Linked DNA regions of Saccharomyces cerevisiae S288C. The protein of the gene in region 2 interacts with the protein of the main gene of each other region in a pairwise test. Each region holds a gene or a part of one and is shown on either strand. Other genes may lie near its edges. The genes, in order: AFR1, RIO1, FMP33 and MST28.

Evidence for each region.
Region 1: the proteins of RIO1 (region 2) and AFR1 interact in a two-hybrid assay, tested with the Saccharomyces cerevisiae proteins (one study listed by BioGRID).
Region 3: the proteins of RIO1 (region 2) and FMP33 interact in a two-hybrid assay, tested with the Saccharomyces cerevisiae proteins (one study listed by BioGRID).
Region 4: the proteins of RIO1 (region 2) and MST28 interact in a two-hybrid assay, tested with the Saccharomyces cerevisiae proteins (one study listed by BioGRID).

The regions. Positions count from the first base shown.
Region 1 is NC_001136.10:613,659-617,922, forward strand, and holds AFR1 (Afr1p), read right to left. Parts: upstream 2,493-4,264; coding exon 630-2,492; downstream 1-629. Other genes in the region: TVP23 (Tvp23p), read right to left, coding at 1-346; translocon subunit SSS1, read right to left, coding at 3,270-3,512; RRP1 (Rrp1p), read right to left, coding at 3,812-4,264. UniProt on the Saccharomyces cerevisiae protein: Acts in conjunction with the alpha-factor receptor to promote morphogenesis and adaptation.
Region 2 is NC_001147.6:548,108-552,256, forward strand, and holds RIO1 (protein kinase RIO1), read right to left. Parts: upstream 2,140-4,149; coding exon 685-2,139; downstream 1-684. Other genes in the region: RTC5 (Rtc5p), read left to right, coding at 1-453; glycerol 2-dehydrogenase (NADP(+)) GCY1, read left to right, coding at 3,007-3,945. UniProt on the Saccharomyces cerevisiae protein: Required for the final endonucleolytic cleavage at site D converting 20S pre-rRNA into the mature 18S rRNA. Required for the final steps of cytoplasmic maturation of the 40S ribosomal subunit.
Region 3 is NC_001142.9:115,631-118,434, forward strand, and holds FMP33 (Fmp33p), read left to right. Parts: upstream 1-1,614; coding exon 1,615-2,157; downstream 2,158-2,804. Other genes in the region: PIR5 (beta-1,3-glucan linked protein), read right to left, coding at 2,332-2,804.
Region 4 is NC_001133.9:186,407-189,403, reverse strand, and holds MST28 (DUP240 family protein MST28), read right to left. Parts: upstream 1,298-2,997; coding exon 593-1,297; downstream 1-592. Other genes in the region: pheromone-regulated DUP240 family protein PRM9, read right to left, coding at 1,672-2,568; DFP2 (DUP240 family protein), read right to left, coding at 2,859-2,997. UniProt on the Saccharomyces cerevisiae protein: Involved in protein trafficking vesicle formation, probably by stabilizing of coatomer at the Golgi membrane and thus allowing the efficient formation of COPI coated vesicles.

The DNA.
Region 1 (4,264 bases), on a different chromosome or scaffold from region 2:
TCACATACATCGACCACCAGAATAACTTAGAATCGATGGCATTTATTGGTGGGCCCGGCGCATATTGCTTATATGATTCGAAAGTAAAATTAGAATCTTTGTTCACATCTGTAGAATCATACCACCAGCGTAATTGGACCAGTTTCCGACCTGTAATGTTTTTTGTTAAGTAAAAGTCAAAAGAAAGTAAAAGAACGACAGTGATGAATTGAGGTGTGAAATTCAAAAACATTGATCCTATGATATAAAATACAATGGGAACTGCCTTACCTGCCAGATGAAATGATAGTAGCAACGGGTGCGACGATTTTAAAATTGTGTTGTAGAAATTTCTTGCCTGGTCCATGTTTCATTCGTAATTAGAGCACCAGCAGGTTTATAAAAGCGTATTGAACCGTAAATCCTTTAAGAACCACGCTTTTCTACATTTACATTATGTACAGTTAAAATGGAAACGAAATCCCTTTTCACCCAAAGGCGCATTGCGGACAAATAATAGGTTCGAGGTCAAGGTAAACAGGAAGCAAGATGCAAAAGAAGTAACTGGAATGGAATGTATACATTGATATATAAATATGTATGACGCCTTCTATTGCAAAAAATAAACTGGATTATGTTACGTTAATAACTCAAATTAAATAATGTGTAAAGCACTTGCTGTTCTCATGGACAACCATCTCATTTTTTTTGTAAGAGTTAAGTTCAAGTTTGATCTCATTCATGGCACTATTCATGCTTGGATGTACTTTCATCATCCACAACAATCTGTGGCGATTCATAATGAATTCCGGATTAGCTCTCTCATATGCATTCGATGACCAAGTGCTTGCTAAACATACTTCTTTTGCAAACCGGACATCTTTTTTTATTGGTTTTGGAGGTGTTTCGACTTTATCAAATGAGGAATCTGGCAGCGAATTCCTTCTATCTTCGAATCTGATATACTCCCAGTCATTTCTCAACCTATTTACCATGTCGTTCCCAACATGCATTGGTAAGCTTATTGGACCTGACAGAGACTGTCGCAAATCTGTCGATATGTTGTAGAAGTATCGTGCAGATTCATTGTCATCTAATGAAGGCCTCTTGGACGATCTTGGTGGTGGTTGATTTCTCGTGTCGATTATATATTCACCGAGCTTTGAAAATTCTTCGATTATGGTCTTGTCGATCAAACCTTCATTGACATTATGCTTTTCGGTATCTCGAAAAGAAACCTTGCCATCGTCGTTGTGCGAGGTCTCGTGGAGCTTTTGTCGTATTTCTAATTGCCTTCGCCTCAAATCGTATTTATCATTTTCCTTGGACAACAGATCATCAAAAATTGAATCTGTATCCATTAGAGTTTCGTCGTCGTCAAATTCAATGCCGTCCAGATTTGCATCCATTAATTCAATATCATTCTCAGCTTCAGAATTTCCATCAGAATGCGTAACCATATCATCGATAGGAATTCTCCTTCTTTTTGTATCCTTTTTTCCATGCTTTGTATTCGAGTTTCCTGAAGTACGCCATAATTTCTTCAAAACAGAACCCAGTTTCAACTTCGATTGTGACTTTATACATCTATATTTCTCAGTGCCCAGAATAGTCTTTTTCTTTCTATCAAATAGGCCTGAATTAGTTGTTGGCTTAGTTTTTTCCTTAGTTGATAAATCCAATTTTTCTATATGGCTACCATGTTTTTCATTTACCGTATTTTCGAAGCAATAAGATATAGTTACAGTTTTATTTTCATAACCGTCATCATCATCAGTTTGACTTTCTGGCAAGCTGGTCAGGGTATTAACAGCAGATATCGGAGAGGTTGATGAAACCGAACTTTTTATTGTTGAAGGAACTGAAGTGTTCAGCTCCAAGCTATTTACACCGTAGCCTGTATCATTGGGAGGAATATGTATGACTGATGTCCCATTATGAGGCCCCACAAAATCTTTTGATAAATTGCGACCTTTCTTCTCGCTGAATTTGAATAAAGAAGAGTCTCTTGAATTTAATTCAGGCTTTTTCAAGCTGTGGGTGCATTTTCCATCAAGTTTTGGCTTGTATATTTCGCCATTGGGAAATTGAAAGCTTCTTTTCATTTTAGAGCGCTGCAGTTGATAAGGTGTTAATTCTTTATATACTCCGAAAGTGTACTGTGGCTTCTGGTATTGGCTCACATAATCTTGATCATTATTGAACCCCTCATGGTAAGAGTTTCTTTCCCTAACTGTGAATAGCGCAGTTCTCTTTCTTTGCTGGGCGGCTGTCATTGAACAGGACCTTACTGGAAATTTTCTAGCTGCTGTCACAGACCTACAGTCTATCTCGCCACTATAAATGTGTCTCTTCTTATTCGGGTTCGAATAATTGTAATCAGCATCATTCCTAACATTGAGTTTAGAGAATGTACTAGACAAAGCAAACAAATTCGAAGTTGAGTTCGACCTAGGTATCAATCGCTCCGGTATGGGTTGGTTTTCTTGTGCAGATAGATATGAGCCCTCCATTATTATCAGCAGTTTGTGGTAACACCTAATATGGCCTATCTGGATAATGAGATAGCCCCTTCCCTTTTTCCAGTTTTCTTTTTCTTTTGTTCCTATATTATATGAAGCCGGTATATATATTTATGTAGAATAAGCTTTTAGCAGGCGTCCCATTAAAGTCGTCAAGGTAAGTCGGGCCCAATAAACTTGTTGAAAGGGTGAGAGAGAAAGTGCTAAAAGGAAGCCAAACCTTTGTGAAACCTGGGGTATGTCGAGCATATAATCAAAAATAAGACGTACTACTCAAAAAGGAAATGCATGGGAAAAAGAGGCAGCGAAAAAGGAAAAGTGAGTGCCCATCTATTTTTAGGCGCTGTTCCGTTCAGGGATCGTACTTGTTTCATATCAGTGGTAGCAACGTGGTAGCACGGAAGAATTTGACAAGGAGCTAAACGTCATATCGCCAAGGAACGGTTTTTCGTTTCAAGGTCGTTGGAGAGCTTTTCCATGATCGGTATGGAGCTTAAATAAAGGGAAAGGAACAATGATACGTTTATGCTTATTCGGCAAATAGAAAACATGTTTAATACAGAAAATGCAGTAATATTATATGGGAAGAATCAAGACTCTTGCCTTCCACCTCTTTAGAGTAAATTCTTATATAGGGCTGAACATATACACACTATACCGATAGAAAGGTTATAATTTAAAGGGAAAAATGCACATAAAGAATACTACTTAATTTTGATTTTTGGTTCTGGTGCCGTTGTTTTTATTTTTTCTCGTCTTTTATCTCTTTTAAACAATAACGTATCTGATTGGAATATGAATCAACTTGATGGCGTAACCAATGATACCGACTGCAATAAAACCAATACCAACAGCCTTGACAATCTTGGTGTATTCCTTCAAATCAGGTTTCTTACACTTGGCCAAGAATTGAGTACCTTCTCTGACAAATTCTACAGGTGCTTCAACCAGCTTTTCAACCTGGTTGTTGCTCTGCTTTTTCTCTTCACCTTTTTCACTAGCTCTAGCCATTTTATTTTTCAATGTTATACGTGATTTTATCTTTGGTAAACTAGCGTAGTGCGGACAATGGACACGAGTTATGGACAATACACGCCAATCTGTACTATTTTCCTTGTTTAATTTAATCACTAGTATTCTTTCATTTCAAAACGAAAAAAAAATAAAAAAAATGTTGCGAGGAAAAAAAGGCGACGTGTTTCGCATTCCGCCAATATCCACAGAGGGTAATGAATTTTTCGTACTATAGATATACAACTACAATTTATATGAGCGACTTACGATTACTTACATACTACCGCCAGGAAGAATCAAAATCCCTTCCACTCTTCCTCTTCCTCTTCTTCAGATTCGTTACTGGAATCATTATGTTGCGTTTCGCCTTCAAGAATATCCCAGGAAACAAGTCTGGTGTCACTGAATAGGTCTTCTTTGATCTTCTCTCTCAACACCTTACTGTTATTGTAATCTGCCACGATATCTTGGAAAATTGCGATAACATCGGCTAGTGGCGTTTTTTTTGCGCTCTCTGCAATTTTGCGCATCTCTTCCTCTTTGTTTTCCTCGTCTTCATCGTCTTCATCTCCATCTTTAAGCAATCTTTCCCATTCGTCCAGCAGAATATCGACGATATGAATTGGAATCCCTGTGTAGACCTTTGGACTTCCACTCAGAGGTAACCACCTCAACACTTTCTTAATATACTCGTCGACTAATTTTTTGTCCCAGTTTCTGGACTGCAAATACTTCAATTGACTGAATAA
Region 2 (4,149 bases):
TCACCCAGGCAGGATATTTATAAAGTCAACCAAAAAGGCACGATCTATTTCAATACAATTGGTGGCGGAATTGGAATCGGGGATAAACAACCATTAATAAAACCAGCATCCAAGAGATACATACCAGGGAACGTGTCGCTTACTTTTGACAGCACATTAGAATTTGCTGTGTTTAGAAATACTGGTTACGGAGGTTCATTAGACCCTGGTTTATTGTCGATGGAAAGAAAGGAGGAAAATTCCCCTTATGAATTGCATTTTTTGATTCAAGATGTTGAGGTATGGGGCTGTGGTGGTGAGAAAGAACTAGAAGAGCAAATCAAACAGTTGGAATGGGAAGAAGCAGAATCTAAAAGAAGACAGCAAATTAACCTGAGAAGCTTGGGAGAAGACCGTGCCTTACTGGAAATGGCAGGTTTAGTTGGCCAACATCAAGGTGGCGGTTCAATGTGATGCCTGCCTTTTTTGCTGTTTTTAGTTATTGGGATTGATTTCACTAAAAATCAAGACCACTAAATAAGGCTATTGTTTATTTTAATATTTATTGCACTTGTATGAAAAGTACCAAACTTTTGATACTGATATTACACTTTTAGTCTTGAACTTTCTTCGTTAAATTGCTGACCTACTTTCTGTTCTTCGACTCCAAACAACGATTCCCAAATGTATTTTCACAGGGCCGCATTATTTCTTTGATTTCGTTTTTTTCACCAATTTTTTCTTGATGTGCTTCTTGACTTTTGTTTTCCTTTTTTCTCTTTTTGCATCTTTAGCTTCCTGCTTGCGCAATTTTTTTAAATCCTTGTCCTCATGTTTCTTCCCCTTTAAAACTTTTGGTTCATCATCGTCATAGTACTCGCCCTCCTCCTCGTCATCTTCTTCAGATCCGCTTGAGCCGTCTTCTTCATCATCTGAGAATTCCTCTGTGCCAGAACTACATTCGTGGTCAGCGTTATCAAATTCAAATTGCTCAGAAGCAGCAAAATTGCGTTCATTATCATGGGCAATCAAGCTTTTCAGTAAGTCAAACTTACCATCAGTATACCTATCAAAATCTCTTTCCTCTAATCCACCCAATGATCTAACTAAATGCAGCGATCTGAATATTTCATCTTCTGCCTCATCTTGTTCTGTAGATTTTATTGGTAGATTACTAGCAATGTATGCAACCAAGGCGCTAATATTGTTATAATCACCTTTAAATTTCTCCAAAGTTTCTGATATGACAAATTGAAAAATAACCCTTTCAGGGAAAATACTTATACCCATCTTCTCGAAATAAAGGTTAACGTTTTTGATATCCATCCTTAAAAAATCTAAACTCATTGGATGTTCAGGTTCCACACTTTGGGAAACATCGATCATATATAGTTTATCATCATGAACTATGGTGTTATACTCTGACAAATCGGCATGAACCAGGCGACAAACTTGGTACAGCAATCTCATATATGCCACCATTGTGTGATAATAATGGAAAATTTCATCACGATTCTTGTACGGATAATCTTTTAATTTAGGTGAGGCAAATCCATTACCTCGGCTTAAAAATTCCATAACTAAGACGTTGTTCTTAACTTCTATTGGCTTAGGAGCTGGAATGACGCCACTTTGATAAATTCTTTTCAGGTTCCTAAATTCCTTTTCAGCCCAAATTTTAATCATTTTCCTTGGATTATGTTGAGATCTGGAATTTCTAAATCTAAATTCACCATCAACATATCTTTCACGATCTTTGAAGACTAGGATAGAGGTCTTATAAATCTTAATGGCATATTCTGCACGGGATCCGTCTGTCTCTAAAACTTCATACTGGCCTGTTTCCTCATCTATTACGGGTGCCTTACCGGTACCTGCAAAAGCGTGGTAAACATTAGCTTCTTTCCCAGTACTTAAGCAACCGTTCAAATCTGCAATCACACCTCTGGTGACCATAGACTTCAAAAATCTCATAGTTCTCGGATCTAAGACATTTTCCACAGTCGCCCTATTTGCTTTATCCTTTGATGTTTTCGCTCTGCTGAATGATAATTCATCAGTTTTTATTTTGTGACTATACTTCTCTAAGAGCTGATTATTAATATGGTCCGAGGCACCTTGCGACACAGACAATGAATCAAATTTATCTTCCAAGGACATGACCTTCTAAAAATAACGGAGTTTGAATCTCTAAATCTGTTTTAACTTCTTTTTACTATTATTTTTAGTCTTAGTATCTCATCTCATCTCAATTTCTATATTCCACTATAAAATTTTTCACTCTTTCTGCGCGCGCCAATGTCCCCGCAACTACTCAATAGGTAACATGAGAATATTTCAGTTCGTAAGAGAGAAGAGATGAAGTTATTTGGGCTCTTTGCTCGAGGTTACAGAAGGGCCGCATTAGAGTGAATGAGCTGATGATATTTCGCCCAGTTCTACATTTTTTTTTTTTTGGAAGTATGACCTCTGTTAAATTTTTTTTTTTTTAAATTTCACTTTCTAAAGTCCCAGAAATCCGCTTGAATGTCTTACATATTGCAATGGATATGCTTGGGTGATCATACTTCCTGGCTTTAGATATTTGAAACTTAACTCTTGTCAACAAACTTCCTATGGAGTGTATAAGAATTGTAAGTTATAACACCGGCGAACAATCGGGGCAGACTATTCCGGGGAAGAACAAGGAAGGGCGGTCTTTTCTCCCTCATTGTCATAGCAAGGTCATTTCGCCTTCTCAGAAAGGGGTAGAATCAATCTAGCACGCAGATTGCAAACACGGCTTAATAATATGCCTATCAGGCATTCACCCGTGTGACGAATCGCACACCGCTGCTCTCCTTAATTCCCTAGAGTAGAAACCGAGCTTTCAGGAAAAGACTACGGCAGTAAAGAATTGCTTTACTGGGCGTATAAAACCGGGAGAATCAAGACATTCTAATGACTTGATTCAGGATGAGAGCTTAATAGGTGCATCTTAGCAAGCTAAAATTTGGACAGCTCTCATTACTAAATTAAGATAGAAAAATGCCTGCTACTTTACATGATTCTACGAAAATCCTTTCTCTAAATACTGGAGCCCAAATCCCTCAAATAGGTTTAGGTACGTGGCAGTCGAAAGAGAACGATGCTTATAAGGCTGTTTTAACCGCTTTGAAAGATGGCTACCGACACATTGATACTGCTGCTATTTACCGTAATGAAGACCAAGTCGGTCAAGCCATCAAGGATTCAGGTGTTCCTCGGGAAGAAATCTTTGTTACTACAAAGTTATGGTGTACACAACACCACGAACCTGAAGTAGCGCTGGATCAATCACTAAAGAGGTTAGGATTGGACTACGTAGACTTATATTTGATGCATTGGCCTGCCAGATTAGATCCAGCCTACATCAAAAATGAAGACATCTTGAGTGTGCCAACAAAGAAGGATGGTTCTCGTGCAGTGGATATCACCAATTGGAATTTCATCAAAACCTGGGAATTAATGCAGGAACTACCAAAGACTGGTAAAACTAAGGCCGTTGGAGTCTCCAACTTTTCTATAAATAACCTGAAAGATCTATTAGCATCTCAAGGTAATAAGCTTACGCCAGCTGCTAACCAAGTCGAAATACATCCATTACTACCTCAAGACGAATTGATTAATTTTTGTAAAAGTAAAGGCATTGTGGTTGAAGCTTATTCTCCGTTAGGTAGTACCGATGCTCCACTATTGAAGGAACCGGTTATCCTTGAAATTGCGAAGAAAAATAACGTTCAACCCGGACACGTTGTTATTAGCTGGCACGTCCAAAGAGGTTATGTTGTCTTGCCAAAATCTGTGAATCCCGATCGAATCAAAACGAACAGGAAAATATTTACTTTGTCTACTGAGGACTTTGAAGCTATCAATAACATATCGAAGGAAAAGGGCGAAAAAAGGGTTGTACATCCAAATTGGTCTCCTTTCGAAGTATTCAAGTAATTGTTTTTGCGTGTTTCTCGTATGATTGTAATATGTAGATAAATTAAACATAAGTATATCAAATGTCGATATTCTTAAGACTGTTTCGTAAATATGTTAAATACCGGATGTGACTACATATAAAAAGTGCGCCTTTTACAGTGATAATTAGCGTCAATCAATAAAATATTTGTAAAATAGGAAGCGAAATCCCGCAGATGCCAG
Region 3 (2,804 bases), on a different chromosome or scaffold from region 2:
AGAATAGTACAGTGTACAATAGCATAAACTGAAGAAGCACTTTGCTACAGTCTATATTGAACATTCCAGGTCTATTTACGCTCATGCCTCAAAAAAAGTTTAAAGGCATCGCACGGTATTGTATTTTCAAGATGTCCGCACCGAATCGGTATTGTAAAAGTTTCACAATATTGAACATCTAGCACAATGATCAACTGAATTGAGGACAAACAGATAATTTTCGTGTGATATTATATTTTAATAGGATAAAGGTGAACTACTACAAACTATTTCAAAAAATAACTATTTAGCTAATCACATAAAAAATACTCCGATACGGGGAGTCGAACCCCGGTCTCCACGGTGAAAGCGTGATGTGATAGCCGTTACACTATATCGGATTATAAACGGTTAATATTCAACACCTAATAGTACTACTTACCAAATTAACAAGAGGATCATCTTTCCCATATGATAATAGACACCGGCTCTAAACTCAACTGTTCTGTACTAGTTGTTTTGATAGAATTTTTTTTACAAATCTGCCCAAAGTACGTTTTCCTAGTTTCATGCCTGTGCAACGCCGCAGCGCTAACCTGTGCAGGACAGATATGTAAATTGGAATCTTAACAGCAACAGAGACTCTCTCAAAACCGATACCAGAACTCAACCGCACTTCGTTATCCATAAATGTTGCCTTAGCCGAATGCAATACATCCCTTATAAAATCAATACAATGCGAAACTTAACACAATGCTAGTCGCTAACCACGACAAATTTCTTGCACCTCCAAATCTGCCTTTGTCCCTCTCCCACATCTTAACTATACCAGAAATGCCTCTCTGTTCTGCAAAAAACCTGTGTTCCTGCTATTAGATGAGGTAAATTCAAAACATTACATGCCATATCTTCTTCTAGACGACTACACCTCTAATTACATCAACAAATTTTAAACTTATATCGTCTAGAGTGATCCTTTCGCTAGAAATGGTAATAACTACTGCCATTGGAATCATAGTTTACAGAATATTGCGAGTTTGCTCTATATTAGATATTTATAAACGCTAGGATGGAACCGAGGGCTGCCACGATGCTTAAAAAATTACAGTGCAGCAACTCCGATGCCATTAATCTATCATAAAGTCTGGCGGCGTATTCCTTGCACAATTTTCATATCTTCCCATATGAATACCTGTTAGTCCGTATCACCAAGTGTAAACTGTTCTTTACAATGAGAACATCTAGAGTCTTTCTGATATGCGTAACTTCTGCCTCATTAATTTAAAAATTTCTTCATAGTAAATAGCTTATTTGCTTGGAGCAGATGATCGACATGTATTTTTAGGAACATAAACTGCCTAAATATAATAGATCAGCCTAAAAATAAGAATGCCAATCAACAAAGTTGTATTTCCTATCTTCCGATATTCGCAGTCCACCATTCAGACCTCTGGTGAGATAGTTTGCCTGCTTTTGCTCCCTTCCAAAGTGCTGATAAAAACCTCCGTGATTTTTTGAATACTCCCCTGAATGTCTATTTTAAGTATATTATAAAATTAGTTTAAGTTGGTGCGGATAACGAAAACTTGATGCAAGGTAAATAAATCAAGTATATCATAGAGTTCTTTCATTCATATGCTATACACAAGGTTGTTACGTCACAACTCACAATTCACCAAGTTTTCAGGCACATCGCCCAATCTTGGCTCAAAACCTTTATTTTCGAAGGGTAATTTGTACACTAGTCTTTTAGTGACAACACTGTATGGGACAGGTCTGGCATGCCTATATCTAGAATCAAATAGCTTGAATAAGTCCAAAGAGCAAGAAGATCCCCATGCCATCGCAGAAGACGACATTGTAAATATAGTCCATGACGCTCCCAATAGAATATTCAAGCCAGCACTTGATACCTATCAAGAGAAAGAGCTTGACTTACAAAAGAGTGACCTCCATAAAGTACTTCATTCTTTGACGTACAGTGATGTCTCTCAATTTTCGATTGTTTGGGGGTTTCTCATTCAACTTTCGAGCCTAATAGGCAATTCCACCTTAGGCAAAAAATCCATTCTTTATAAGGGAAGTGTCGTTAGTGTTTTAGGGTTCCCACCGTTGATTTATATGGCACTTAAACTTAGGATGAAACAGCTGGAAAAAGCTGGAGTGCGCTTTGAGTAATGCAGAAGGCAACATCTCCGAAAATAAAAACGATGAAGTAAATGAAAACTCGTTTGTGAATACGTAAAATTATAACGCGCCCCATACATAGTAAGACAGACTTACTTTTATACTATTATTTTAGTTATATTTTTGAAGTACAATCAAGACCTGCAAGATTATAATGTTGGTGATTCAACAATCGACGAGACCAACTGTTTGTAAATGAACGGGATTGCACTGGCCCCCGATAGACTGATCGTAAAGGTTATAGAAAGTGCCCGACAGACATTGGTAAAACACGTCATTATCACCAATAGCTAAAGTGCCATGCTTCGTTATCGACCAGCCGCCAGCGTAAATAGCGCCCGCCTGTGGAGGTGGACCATCAAATTGGAACTGTCTGTTTGCTACTATCGATCCAATTCTACCACTGGAGTCAATAAGAACACCTCCTTGTAACGTTATTGCCAAGGTGCCAGAACTTTTACAGGCTTGCACCTTGATCACTTTTTCATTATTTGGTTTCTTTGTTGGCTCTAACTTACTCTTGGAAAGCACAGAACTACTACTGGCTGAAGAAATAGTAACTTGCACTTGACCATCATGAATCTGAGAAACAGCAGTTGCGGTTGAAGTTGCTGTCGCAGTTACAGTTTTACTTGGAA
Region 4 (2,997 bases), on a different chromosome or scaffold from region 2:
AAATACGCTCAGATTCAATTCTGATTAATTTTCATTGGGGCTGATGCTTTCGCTGCAAGTTGTCATAGTATTATTTATTTATTAATACCTTAGATTTTCTTGACAATTAACCAATTTTTAATCATTAAACTTAATAATATTTAATGCTACTGTACTTTTTATTATTATTTATTATTAATTTATTTATTCGTTCATCTTGTATGTAATCGTCCTCCGTTCTTTTCCCTTTACCGCTGGCTTGCGCGCGATGATTTCCACTAAAAGCTTGCTTGGAAATCTCGATCACCGACATACGCCCTGAGAATGCTTATAGGAGCTATTGAGGCGAAAGAAGTGGAGGGAAAGTAATATCCCGAGAACGAAAACGCAAGGTTTATTGTCATGAAAATGCAAATGCACCGTTGACAAAACCAACCACACGATTATCACGACTACTACCATAATAGGTAGGCAATGAACCACTTTGTTCAGCAAATGGGTCCAACACGAATCGACTTTTCGAGGCTTCCTTCGGCCGTTTTCCGGCCAGTTAGTGCTGATTATATATCATACTCTAGTTTATGTTCGCTTTACGTATGGTAGTGTCTCTAAGCTATTCCGTCTTTTTAAGAAGCGCATCGATATTGGGATGCCGCCTTCGCCAGTAATTTTCCTGAGCTTGTCGTTCGATCTCCGCTGCCTTGAGCAAAAAGTTTTGATAATTCAGTCTGGAACTAGGAGAAGCTGACTCGATGGCATCTTCAGGCTTAGCGGTGACCGGAGAATTGCCAATTGACGTGGCTGTTTGCTTCTTGGGGGTTACTCCCTCAACAAGGCGTAGAAAATAACGGTAGCAATCCTCATCGCTGTAAAAGTAATACGGAGTATGCCATTGCCCATGATTAAACAAATATTGGTTCATGTTGTATGTGATGATCCTCCATTCTTTCCCTTCTACCGCCGGTTTACGTGTGATGACATCCACTAAAAGCTCGGTCCTAAAATTTCGACGACTGACTAGCTTTGGATTACCATCACTTAATATTATTAACAAACCTACAAGAGAAGTAAAAGCAAATATTGCAGAATTGAAAACACAAGCTTCGTTGTCATTAAAAAATATAATTAATAAAACCAAAACCCCTATTACCAGGGACAAAATCATGACTGGTGTATAGCGAGCGATTTCATAGATCCAATAACTCAAGTACGAACGGAATATGTCCTTAGGAAGAGCCACATTTTTCTCAATTAAATGTGCACTAGGTTCGTTAAGTGTATCTAACTTGACGTCGGTACTTTCTGGAGGGGTCTGCATAGCCAATATATACCTTGTATTGCCTATGACTATAGTATTCCTGGTTGTTTCTGTGCCACTGCATACTGATCAAATGTTTCAATTACGCAGGACCCTTTTACGATTGTTTTTCATCTCTAGAGGCATTTTCAACATCGTATTTTCCGAAGCGTTGCATAATGAAAATGTGATAATAAGGCAGTGAGCTACTTTGTCACAACAAAGTACGAGAACAGATGAGGTTCCGTGGTGTTTTTGGGGCAACCGCACTATTTGGAGCGCTGTATATATTTATATCCTACTACAAAAAATCATAAATGACACTGAATTGGACACATGCTAGCGTCAAATACCTTGCCTGGTAAAGTTGTGTGCTAGTGTCTCCCGTCTTCTGTCTAAAAAAACTCATCGACACCAGGATACTCTTGTCGCCAATATTCCTTTTGAAATTGTTGTTCGATTTCGGCTGCCTTGGTGAGGAGCTTTATAAAGTTCGGTCCGGCACTAAAACTAGAAGACTCAGCGGCTTCGTTTGGTGTGCCAGCGGTTTCGTCATTTGATTGTGCGTCTTTAACATTGCTGGCTGACGATTCCTTTTGCTTCTTGAAAGTTCTTCCCTTAATAAGACTTAGAAAATAACGGTGGCAATCTTCATCACGGTAAAAGTAGTAGGGAGTATCCCATAGCCCATGATCAAATAAATACTGGTTCATCTTGTATGTAATTGTCCTCCATTCTTTCCCCTTTACCGCCGGTTTACGTGTGATAATTTCCATCAGAAGCTTAACTTTAAATTCCCGATCACCGATCGGTTCACTAAATGCAATTACAACCATGCATGTTCCTGGAAAGCAAAAGGAAAACAATAGTATCTCAAAGGCAACGCAAAATTCCGTATTATAAAAAAACACTAATAATAAAATTGAAGTCACAATAAGTACGAGCAAAATTACTGCCGCTTTATGACGAGTAACTTCATATATCCAATAACTTAAGTACGAACCGAATATGTCCTTGGGAAGAGCCACATTTTTCTCAATTAAATATGCACTGGGTTCGTCGAGAAAATCCGACTTGGCGTCGGTACTTTCTGAAGATGTTTGCATGCCCAGTTTATATCTTGTCTTCTCTATAGCTCTGCTATGGTGTTGAAGGATGTTATGCGGATCAAAATAGCGATCTGTCTTATACCAATTGAAACTTTTCATCACCTGCTTTTTACTTCGGAGGCATTTTTCATTCAATACTAAGTTCCGGAATGATACAAAATAAAAATGGTATTGAGGCGACATAAGTTGTTAGCACAGCAAAGATGGTTGCGGGTTAAGTTTTCTGATCGTTCTGGGAGAGTATTTACGTTAAAAAATAGGAATCAATTAAGCATAATCATGCCGTTTTGTGTGCTACATATCTGTTTCCCACTATATAAAGTCACGTTAGAATGCAATTTATCTAATTTACTACCCCATTTTAGCGTCAGTGGATTGGTAAATCCCTTTGCTAGCAAGGTACTGTCAGAATATTTCTCCTTCCTTTCAAATAATTGCACCAATATCTTGCCAATACTTCACTTGAGATTGTTCTACAATATCCGCTGTCTTGGAAAGCAATTTTGAAAATCTTCTCCGGGATTTAATGTGAAAGATTCGCCAGCTTCAGTCTCCTGTACATTTTCCTCAGCGTTGCTTGTTGGCTTCTCGAAAGTTCTTCCCTCAATAAAA